2 linked regions of the Coturnix japonica genome follow. The protein of the gene in region 2 purifies or fractionates together with the protein of the main gene of each other region. This does not show direct contact. Links are inferred from orthologs where the notes say so. Each region holds a gene or a part of one and is shown on either strand. Other genes may lie near its edges.

Region 1 (4,334 bases), on a different chromosome or scaffold from region 2:
ATCCCAATCAGGTTCTGGGAGTCCTTCTTCAGGGTCACTGTCCCAGGTACAGTGGGGATCCCTCTAGAATGAGAAAGGAGATGGATAGTGGAAAACTGAACATGGCAGACAGAGCTGTATCTGTACAACTGTGGTATCAGTGACGATAAAAACTGAACACATGATAGACATTGTACACTTTAATTAAGCACACTGTGCCACAGAGTCTATAAGCACAGGACAACACAGGAAGACACTCTGAGCTGTTGTTTTTGAGACTGCATGCACAGAGTGAAGGAGGGAGAGATGCAGAGGAAACACTGTTGCTTTAAACAGTGTTTGAGCTGCCTTTGTGTCAGAGTAAGAGATCAGTATGTGCAACAAAAACGAAACTCCATGCCAAAGAAACTGCTGATTTCATAAAACTTGTTCAAAAAACTCCAGTGCTCCTTACAAACCCATGGTCTCCAGAGGTTTTCTCCACTTATGGCTGCCTCGTACTGTCTTCCATTATAAACCTTTTTTTTTTTCTTCCCTCTAGCTAAGGTCACTAATTCACTGCTAGGACTACCTTGCAACAAGAAGCTCAGAGCAGTCCTTGGAGAGAGACAGCAATACTTCATCCCCATTCCCCAAGGTAGCAAGAAGTCAGGATTGAGCAGCGAGCCTGACCCTTCAGCGGGTCTTAGAATCAGAACTGTTGGTTGGAAACGAGCCTTAAAGGCCATCTGGACAAACCCCCTACAATGGAAAGAGACTCCTACATCTAGATCAGGATGCTCAGAGCCCCTCCAGCCTGACCTTGAATATCTCCAGGGATGAAGCATCCACACCCCCAGACAACCTGTTCCTTACTGGAACTCCACTAGACTTATTGGAAAGTAAGTCTACATACAGTCTAAATCTCTCTTCTAGTCTGAAACCATTTCTCCTTGTCCTATCACAAAGAAAAGAATCTGTCCCTTTTCTTCTTATAGTCTCCCTCTAGATACTGAGAGGCTGCTCTCTGGTCTCCCTGGAGCCTTCTCTTCTCCTGGCTGAACAACCCTAGCTCTCTCAACTTCCTCTCTCATAGGGCAGGTGTTCCATCCCTTTGGAACATCTCATTTTTGTGGCCCTCCTCTGCATGTGCTCTAACAGGTCTAACATGCCCACATCTCTCCTGTACTGAGGGTTCCACATTCAACTCAGTACTCTGGGAAAGGTCTCACAACACAGTGCAGAGGGGCAGGATCACCTCCCTCTCCCTAATGGCCACATTCCTTTGGGTGCAGCCCAGGACACAGTTGGCACTGTGGGCTGTGAGGGCACACTGCTGGCTCATGTCCAGCTGCCATCCATCAGTGTCCCCAAGTCCTTTTTGGTAGGGCCGTGCTCCATCCCCCAGCCTGTACTGGTAGTGGAAATTGCCACAGCCCAGGTACCACAGAATCACAGAATGACCCGAGTTGGAAGGGACCTCAAAGATCATGTAGTTCCAACCCCCCTGCCTGTCAGGGCCACCAAACATACACATTTACTACGTCAGGTTGCCCAGGCCCGTCCAACTGGCTTGAACACCTCCAAGGACGGGGCATCCACAACCTCCCTGGGCAGCCTGTTCCAGGACCTAACCACTCTCTAGTGAAGAACTTCCCCTAACATCCAACCTAAATCTTCCCTCTTTCAACTTAAAACCATTTCCCCTGTCCTGCTATTTCAGCCTTTCGAAGAGTTTCTCCCTCCTGGGGTAATTCCCTTCGGTAATGAAAGGCTGCAATGAGGTCACCGCAACCTTCTCTTCTCCAGGCTGACAAACCCAACTCCCTCAGCCTGTCCTCATAGGGGAGGTGCTCGGCCCCCTGATCATCTTTGTGGCCTCCTCTGGACCCTTTCCAAAATCTCCATGTCTTTTTGTACTGAGGGCTCCACACCTGGACACAGTACTCCAGATGGGGCCTCACAAGAGCAGAGAGGGACAATCACCTCCCTATCCCTGCTGGCCACCCCTCTCCTGATGGAGCCCAGGATCCCATTTGCTTTCCGGCTGCCAGAGCGCACTGCTGGCTCAGTTTGAGTCTTTGTCCATCAGGACCCCCAGGTCTTCTCTGCCGAGCTGCTCTCAAGGACCACTCCTCCCAGCCTGTACAGGTGCCTGGGGTTCTTCCAGCCCAAGTGCAAAACCTTACAATACCGATATGCAATACCAGACCTTGCACTTGGCCAAGTGAGGGGGTCCTTGGCCCACTGCTCAAGCCTGTCCAGGTCTCCCTGGGCCTTGTCAGCAACATGGAAATCTATCTGCTGCCATTTGTTTTGTTCTGTGAAGACTATTTCTATTGTCAGAAAAACAAAAGATGAGTGCCGTACTTACAGCTTATCCTCCTCAACATCATAATCCAAATCAGCAAACATCCTTTTCGCTAACTGGAACCTGACCGTCTGAAAGCACCTTCTTGTAAACTCCCTAGGAAGAAAGCACAGAGCAAAACCCCCGTAAGGCCGCGCTCTCTGCGGGTCACCAGGGCACCAACGTCAACTCCCACCCCATCTATTTCTGAATGACGAATGGTGCCCTGATAGAGGGCTGCAAGTAGGGACCAGGTGGCCGCACGCTCTGCTCCAGGCACAGCACCACACCCCGCGGCCCGCTCCCCGCTCACACAGCAGCCTTGTTCTGTTTCCTAAGCAACTGCCGTGCCCCCGATCCCTTATGTCCCGCAGCAGGCCCCGCTCTGTGCTCCCAGGCCCCGGCCCCGCTCGCTGCCCCGCGGCTCGGTCACACGCTGCCGCCGCTCGCCCCACATCAAAGCCGAGACCTTTAGAGGTGGCCGGGCCGACCCCGCCGCTGACGCGTCGCCGCCGGAGCCGACCGGAAGCGCGCAGCCAAAGCCCGCCCCCCTTCCTCTAGCGCCCGCGTTGCTACGGGGACGCTCCATCCGCCATCTTGAGAGTGGCGGGCTCAAGGATCATGTAGTTCCAACCCCCTGCCTGGCACAGGGCCACCAAACATACACCCTTTACTAGATCACGTTGCCGCAGGGCCCCGTCCACCCTGCCTTGAACACCTCCAAGGACGGGGCATCCACAACCTCCCTGGGCAGCCTGTTCAGTACCTACCCCTCTCCTAGTGAAGAACTTCCCCTAACATCCAACCTAAATCTTCCCTCTTTCAACTTAAAACCATTTCCCTAGTCCTGCTATTATCAGCCCTTCGAAGAGTTTACTCCCTCCTGGGAGTAAAGTTCCCTTCAGGTATTGTAAGGCTGCAATGAGGTCACCCCGCAACCTTCTCTAGGCTGAGAATTCATAGCAACACTGAATACTCTAAGTGCGAAGGGAGCCGTAGGGACCATCGGGCTCCATAAAGGACCACCTGAAAATCAGACCCTACGACTGAGAGCACTGGCTGAAAGCTCCTTAAACTCCAGGGCCTCCAAAGTTACACCAGCCGCCCAGCTGGGGTTCATTCCTAAGGCAGGAGCTCCTCCGTGTGGGCACCATCTAGAAGGCAGCGTGGCTGATGGGCTCCGCTTTTGTGCTTCCCCTCTGGTGTGTGTGTGTATTGAATATGGCCCTCACTTCATCCCGGAAGCATCCCTGAAGCCTTTGTACACGCGTGCTGGGTGACCCTGCCTTTTGTGTGCACTCAATCCGATGTGTTCGGGGTCAGTTGGATGGGCTCTGAATGAGATGGTGTGTGCCTTAGGGCTGTGTTTCTCAGTGCTAGAGATCCGGCAGATCACCTCATCCCGAGGGGGAAAAGGAATGAAAATGATCATCTGAAATAAAATCATCATCATCATAAAACATAGCACTCACTGCCTACCAGTATGCTTTGGATCAAGAGAGCTCAGCAAATACAAGGCTTTTATCCGCCTTTCGAGACTCAATACAGCAAAGTCAGGCCAGGCTCCGCCAGTCAAACTCTCTTCTGTTCATCTTTCATCACGTGTAATAAGGAGTCTGCAAGCAGATCACACGCTGCATGACTAGTTGGCTTCTTGGCACTCAGATGTATTTCCCTGCAGTGGGTCTCTGTTAAATCTCGTGTTTCTGGCTGCTTTTCTGCTACTGTTGTCAGCTTAGAGTCAACATGACTAACGCTGAGCTAACATCCTCCCCAGTCGCTGTCCTTCAAGCATGTTTTCTGTTCTGGGGGATAAGTATGGTGATTATGTTCTCGTTCTCAGGCCAACCCCTGCCTGGTACTTCACAGCTTGAGTGAATATCTCCAGTGAAGAAGACAGCGCAACCTCTCCGGGCAGCCTTATCCCTTAGGAGGTCCAGCTGTTAGTTAGATCAAGGCATTAGCCATGGAAATGCAATATCTGCAACTTGAAAAGACAGCAGTGTAAAGCCTAACGAGGTTTCTG
Region 2 (3,404 bases):
CACCATCACAGAACCCCACACCATGACCAGGCTGCAGGCCCTCAGTGGTCCCCCAAGGCGCAGCCCTCCATGCTGCTCCCCCAGCGGCCCAACGCTGCCATCCCCGGGACGGAGGCCGAGGAAGACATTTTGGAGATGTGGAGCTGCTCTGTTTTGTGCACGTGGAGCCCAGTGGGCTCTGCTGGGGCTGCGGGGCTCTGAGATGATGCCAGGCATGGGAACAGGCGCAGGCTGAGCTCTGGGGAGCAGAATGAGCATGGAGACAATGGACGGACGGACAGACGAACAGGGCTGTGGATGGAGACTCTTGCGGCCCGAAGGCTGCTTCTTCTTGGCTTCTGGGTTTCTAGTTAAAAAGGCCGAGGGGAGCCGAGGGGGAGGAGACGGGGCAGGCCCGCGCCCCGGCCCGCTGTGCGTGGCTCCGCGGCTGGGCTGCAGCCTCCTCCAGTCTCTGAGCCAACACGGCCCGGCCCGGCCGCCTGCCCCAAAATCTGAGGCCGCCGCTCTTGTCCGCGTCCCGCCGTGGCTTCGAGCGAGGTCCCCTGGCTGTGTCTCTCCTCTAGGAGAAGGGCAGCGCTCCGGAGGGCTTTGGTAGCTCGGGTTGTTGTACATCCAGACGTCGGTTAGCAGGTGAAGTCCTCAAAGGTTCCCCGGGCTGGGTGGTGAGGTAGGATGTTTGCTGCGTACGTCATGCCGGCCGGGTGACCCCGTAGGCTCTCGCAGGGGTTCTGTAGGGGAAGAGATGGGATGTTGTGGTCACGGGTTTAAGCCAGAACCAAGCCCTGTCTTCCATTGCCTGCTGCCCCTTGTCCCCCAGGTGGTGACGGTGACCCCCCAACAAGACCCCCTGCCCAGCACTCACGTGGCGTTTCACGTCATCCATGCTCAGTGCGACGCCCTTGTCCGTGTTGTTCCTCTTGTGGTTCTTACGGCACTTGCCCCGCCGGCACAGCCGGTGCTTGATCACCTGCAGGAGATGGCTCTGAGCTCCAGGATGGACCCCAACAAGGGGGTTTCCCCAGTAGATGGAGGGATGTGGTGCCAAGGGGGCTCTGCTGACCCCACAGGAACAGGGCACAGTGTTTTGGGGCTCACCTCATAGGCGTAGTCAAACAGCTCCAGCACAGTGAGGATGCTGGCCCCGATAAACAGCCCCATCTGTCCTCCGATGTCACCTGGGGGGGAGAGGAAAGCTATCAGCAGGGCACTGCTGGCAGATGGAGCAGAGAAAGGGCAAACCTCATCACTGCTGTGACTCTGGGGGCTGCTCTGTTCTGCACCTACGCTGTGTGCACACCCTGGTGCCCCAGGATTGGGGTGACAGCACATGGGGCCACACTGAAGGGTGCCAACCAAAGCTCTCAGCACAGCCACCAGCCCACAGTGCTCACCCAGCAATCCAGCCACCTCATACGCCTTCTTCTGCTCAATCGTCTCATAGTTCAAGGCTTCAAAGAAGATATCCAGCACCAGGATGTTCTCCCTGCGTGGGCAGAAAGCAGAGTCAGGTCGTGGTGTTGGAGAGACACAATGCTGCCCCATACCTGTGGTGCATTACCCGATGTATTGCTCTGACTTGTTGTACTTCTTGGCCAGGTACTTAGCAGAGGCTTTGCTGGGAATCTTCACCATGGAGAGCTCTTTGCCGTAGCGGGTGACGTTGCAGGGCATCTCACAGACACAATACTCATTGTCCTTCTCCACCAGGAAATCTGGGCAGGAAAAGAGACTTAGATGGGGATGTGGGAAACCCTGATGCTGTCAGTTCAGACCTATGGGACCAGGCAGCCTCACCTAAGGCCGGATCTGCGCACTCCTTGTACTGCTCTGGGGTGCAATAAGGGGCATCGCCTGCAGGAAACAGAACAGGTTTCCCATAGGACTGTGTCCCCTGGGTTTGGGGTGGGATGCAGCCATGCAGAGCTCACCTGGCATGTGCACCATGCGGCAGTTGCAGTTCTCCACCAGGTAGCGGGTCTCGCAGTCGATGCGGCAGGCTGTGATGCTGTAAGTGTCGTAGAACTCCGAGTCACCCGTTGTGGCCTTACAGTCTCCCCAGGGAGGTGGCAGGTAGATGAGCTGAGAGGGAAGCCAGGGATAAGGAGAGAAGCACACATCCCTGCAGCCCACGGCATGGTGAGGGTGGGGCCTCGTGTGCTGCTCCCCATTTCCATCCCACATTGGGGCAGGAGATGGGGATGTAGGGAGGGGGCTCAGCACTCTAGGGGGTGGGAGGGATTGAGCAAGGCCCACAGCCCCTACCCGCTGCTCCTGGCAGGACACGAAGGTCTGGAAGCCGGGTGCCACACCAAAGCCCAGCTGGTCGATGTAGGGTGGCTCATCCTGGCTGTGGATCTGCACCTTGATCCCAGCTTCAAATGAGGTCTCATCTGCAGCAGAGAGGAGCAGAGAGGAGCTGAGCCCTGCTGCAAGAAGGAAGAAAACTCCTCCCGTCTCCCACCCTTCCCTTTGGTGAATTCACTCCTTCACATGTCCATGCATCCATGCATCCATCCACCCCGTGCCCTTGTCCCCCCCAGCCCTGTGGTCCAGACCTTGGGAAGAGCAGTGTGGAAAGTGCCTGGCTCTATTTATAAACAAGTGATGGCTGCTTGTCTAAAGCGGCAGGGAGTTGCCATGGCAAATAGAAGAGGCAAGGAGGAAAAAGGAAAGCAGAAGACCCGAAGTGGTGAGAAACAGAAGGAAGGAGCCCTGGGGACGTGGTCTTGTGGGGTATGAAGCTGGGAGGCTGCTGGGAAGCAGCCTAGGAGCTGCTGGGTTACCTGTTTCCCCCCACACAGGGAGGTACTCGTCCTGCTGGATGTCCAGCATGATCTCCAGGCCATTTCCAGTGCCCCCCTTCATGGTGATGAGCCGGGGTTTGCCGTCCTGCCCTGCATTGAAGGTGTAGCATTTGCCATAGCGTGTGAACACCTGTGGGAGAGGACATAAGGCTGAGGCTGGGGCCCCTCTGCTAGCCCCAAAATGCCACTGGCGCTGCAGCATGGAGCTGACTCCAGCTCCAGAATGTGGCAATGCCCAGCCTGGGGGACAGCCTGACCCAGGGTCCTGTCCCATGGGGTCTCTTAGCATCAGAGCTGCCTTTGCCCTGGTAGAAGGACGAGATCCCCACCAAGGCAATGGGTGCAGATCAGTGGAGATGCTTTGCAGGTTTGCATCTCCATGACCCTGCAGCCCCAGGACAGCAGCACTCAGCCCTGTGCCCTCACCAATATCTGCCCCATCACCTCCAATCCCACAGATGGGGGCTGGACAGGATCCTCAACCCCCCAGCCCTCCTCACCCATTCCAGCTATCACCTCTGGCTGCCAGCACAGCTCCATGCTGCTGAGCTGCTGCTGGCAAAGGGAGCATCTGGGGCCAGCAGGCTGCAGGCTGCACAG

What was found.
Region 1: the proteins of ASIC1 (region 2) and PICK1 purify together in Homo sapiens (affinity purification with western blotting; 3 studies listed by BioGRID and IntAct, with this or other methods). This does not show direct contact. The link is inferred for Coturnix japonica from reciprocal best matches to the Homo sapiens genes ASIC1 and PICK1.

Annotation. Positions count from the first base shown.
Region 1 is NC_029516.1:46,560,738-46,565,071, forward strand, and holds the start of PICK1 (PRKCA-binding protein), read right to left. Parts: upstream 2,866-4,334; 5' UTR 2,778-2,865; intron 2,752-2,777; exon of another isoform or gene 2,622-2,751; intron 2,426-2,621; 5' UTR 2,374-2,425; coding exon 2,333-2,373; intron 64-2,332; coding exon 1-63. UniProt on the Homo sapiens protein: Probable adapter protein that bind to and organize the subcellular localization of a variety of membrane proteins containing some PDZ recognition sequence.
Region 2 is NC_029544.1:355,326-358,729, forward strand, and holds the end of ASIC1 (acid-sensing ion channel 1), read right to left. Parts: intron 2,935-3,404; coding exon 2,784-2,934; intron 2,391-2,783; coding exon 2,263-2,390; intron 2,080-2,262; coding exon 1,929-2,079; intron 1,852-1,928; coding exon 1,795-1,851; intron 1,713-1,794; coding exon 1,559-1,712; intron 1,484-1,558; coding exon 1,096-1,483; intron 968-1,095; coding exon 863-967; intron 729-862; coding exon 624-728; 3' UTR 604-623; downstream 1-603. UniProt on the Homo sapiens protein: Forms voltage-independent, pH-gated trimeric sodium channels that act as postsynaptic excitatory receptors in the nervous system, playing a crucial role in regulating synaptic plasticity, learning, and memory.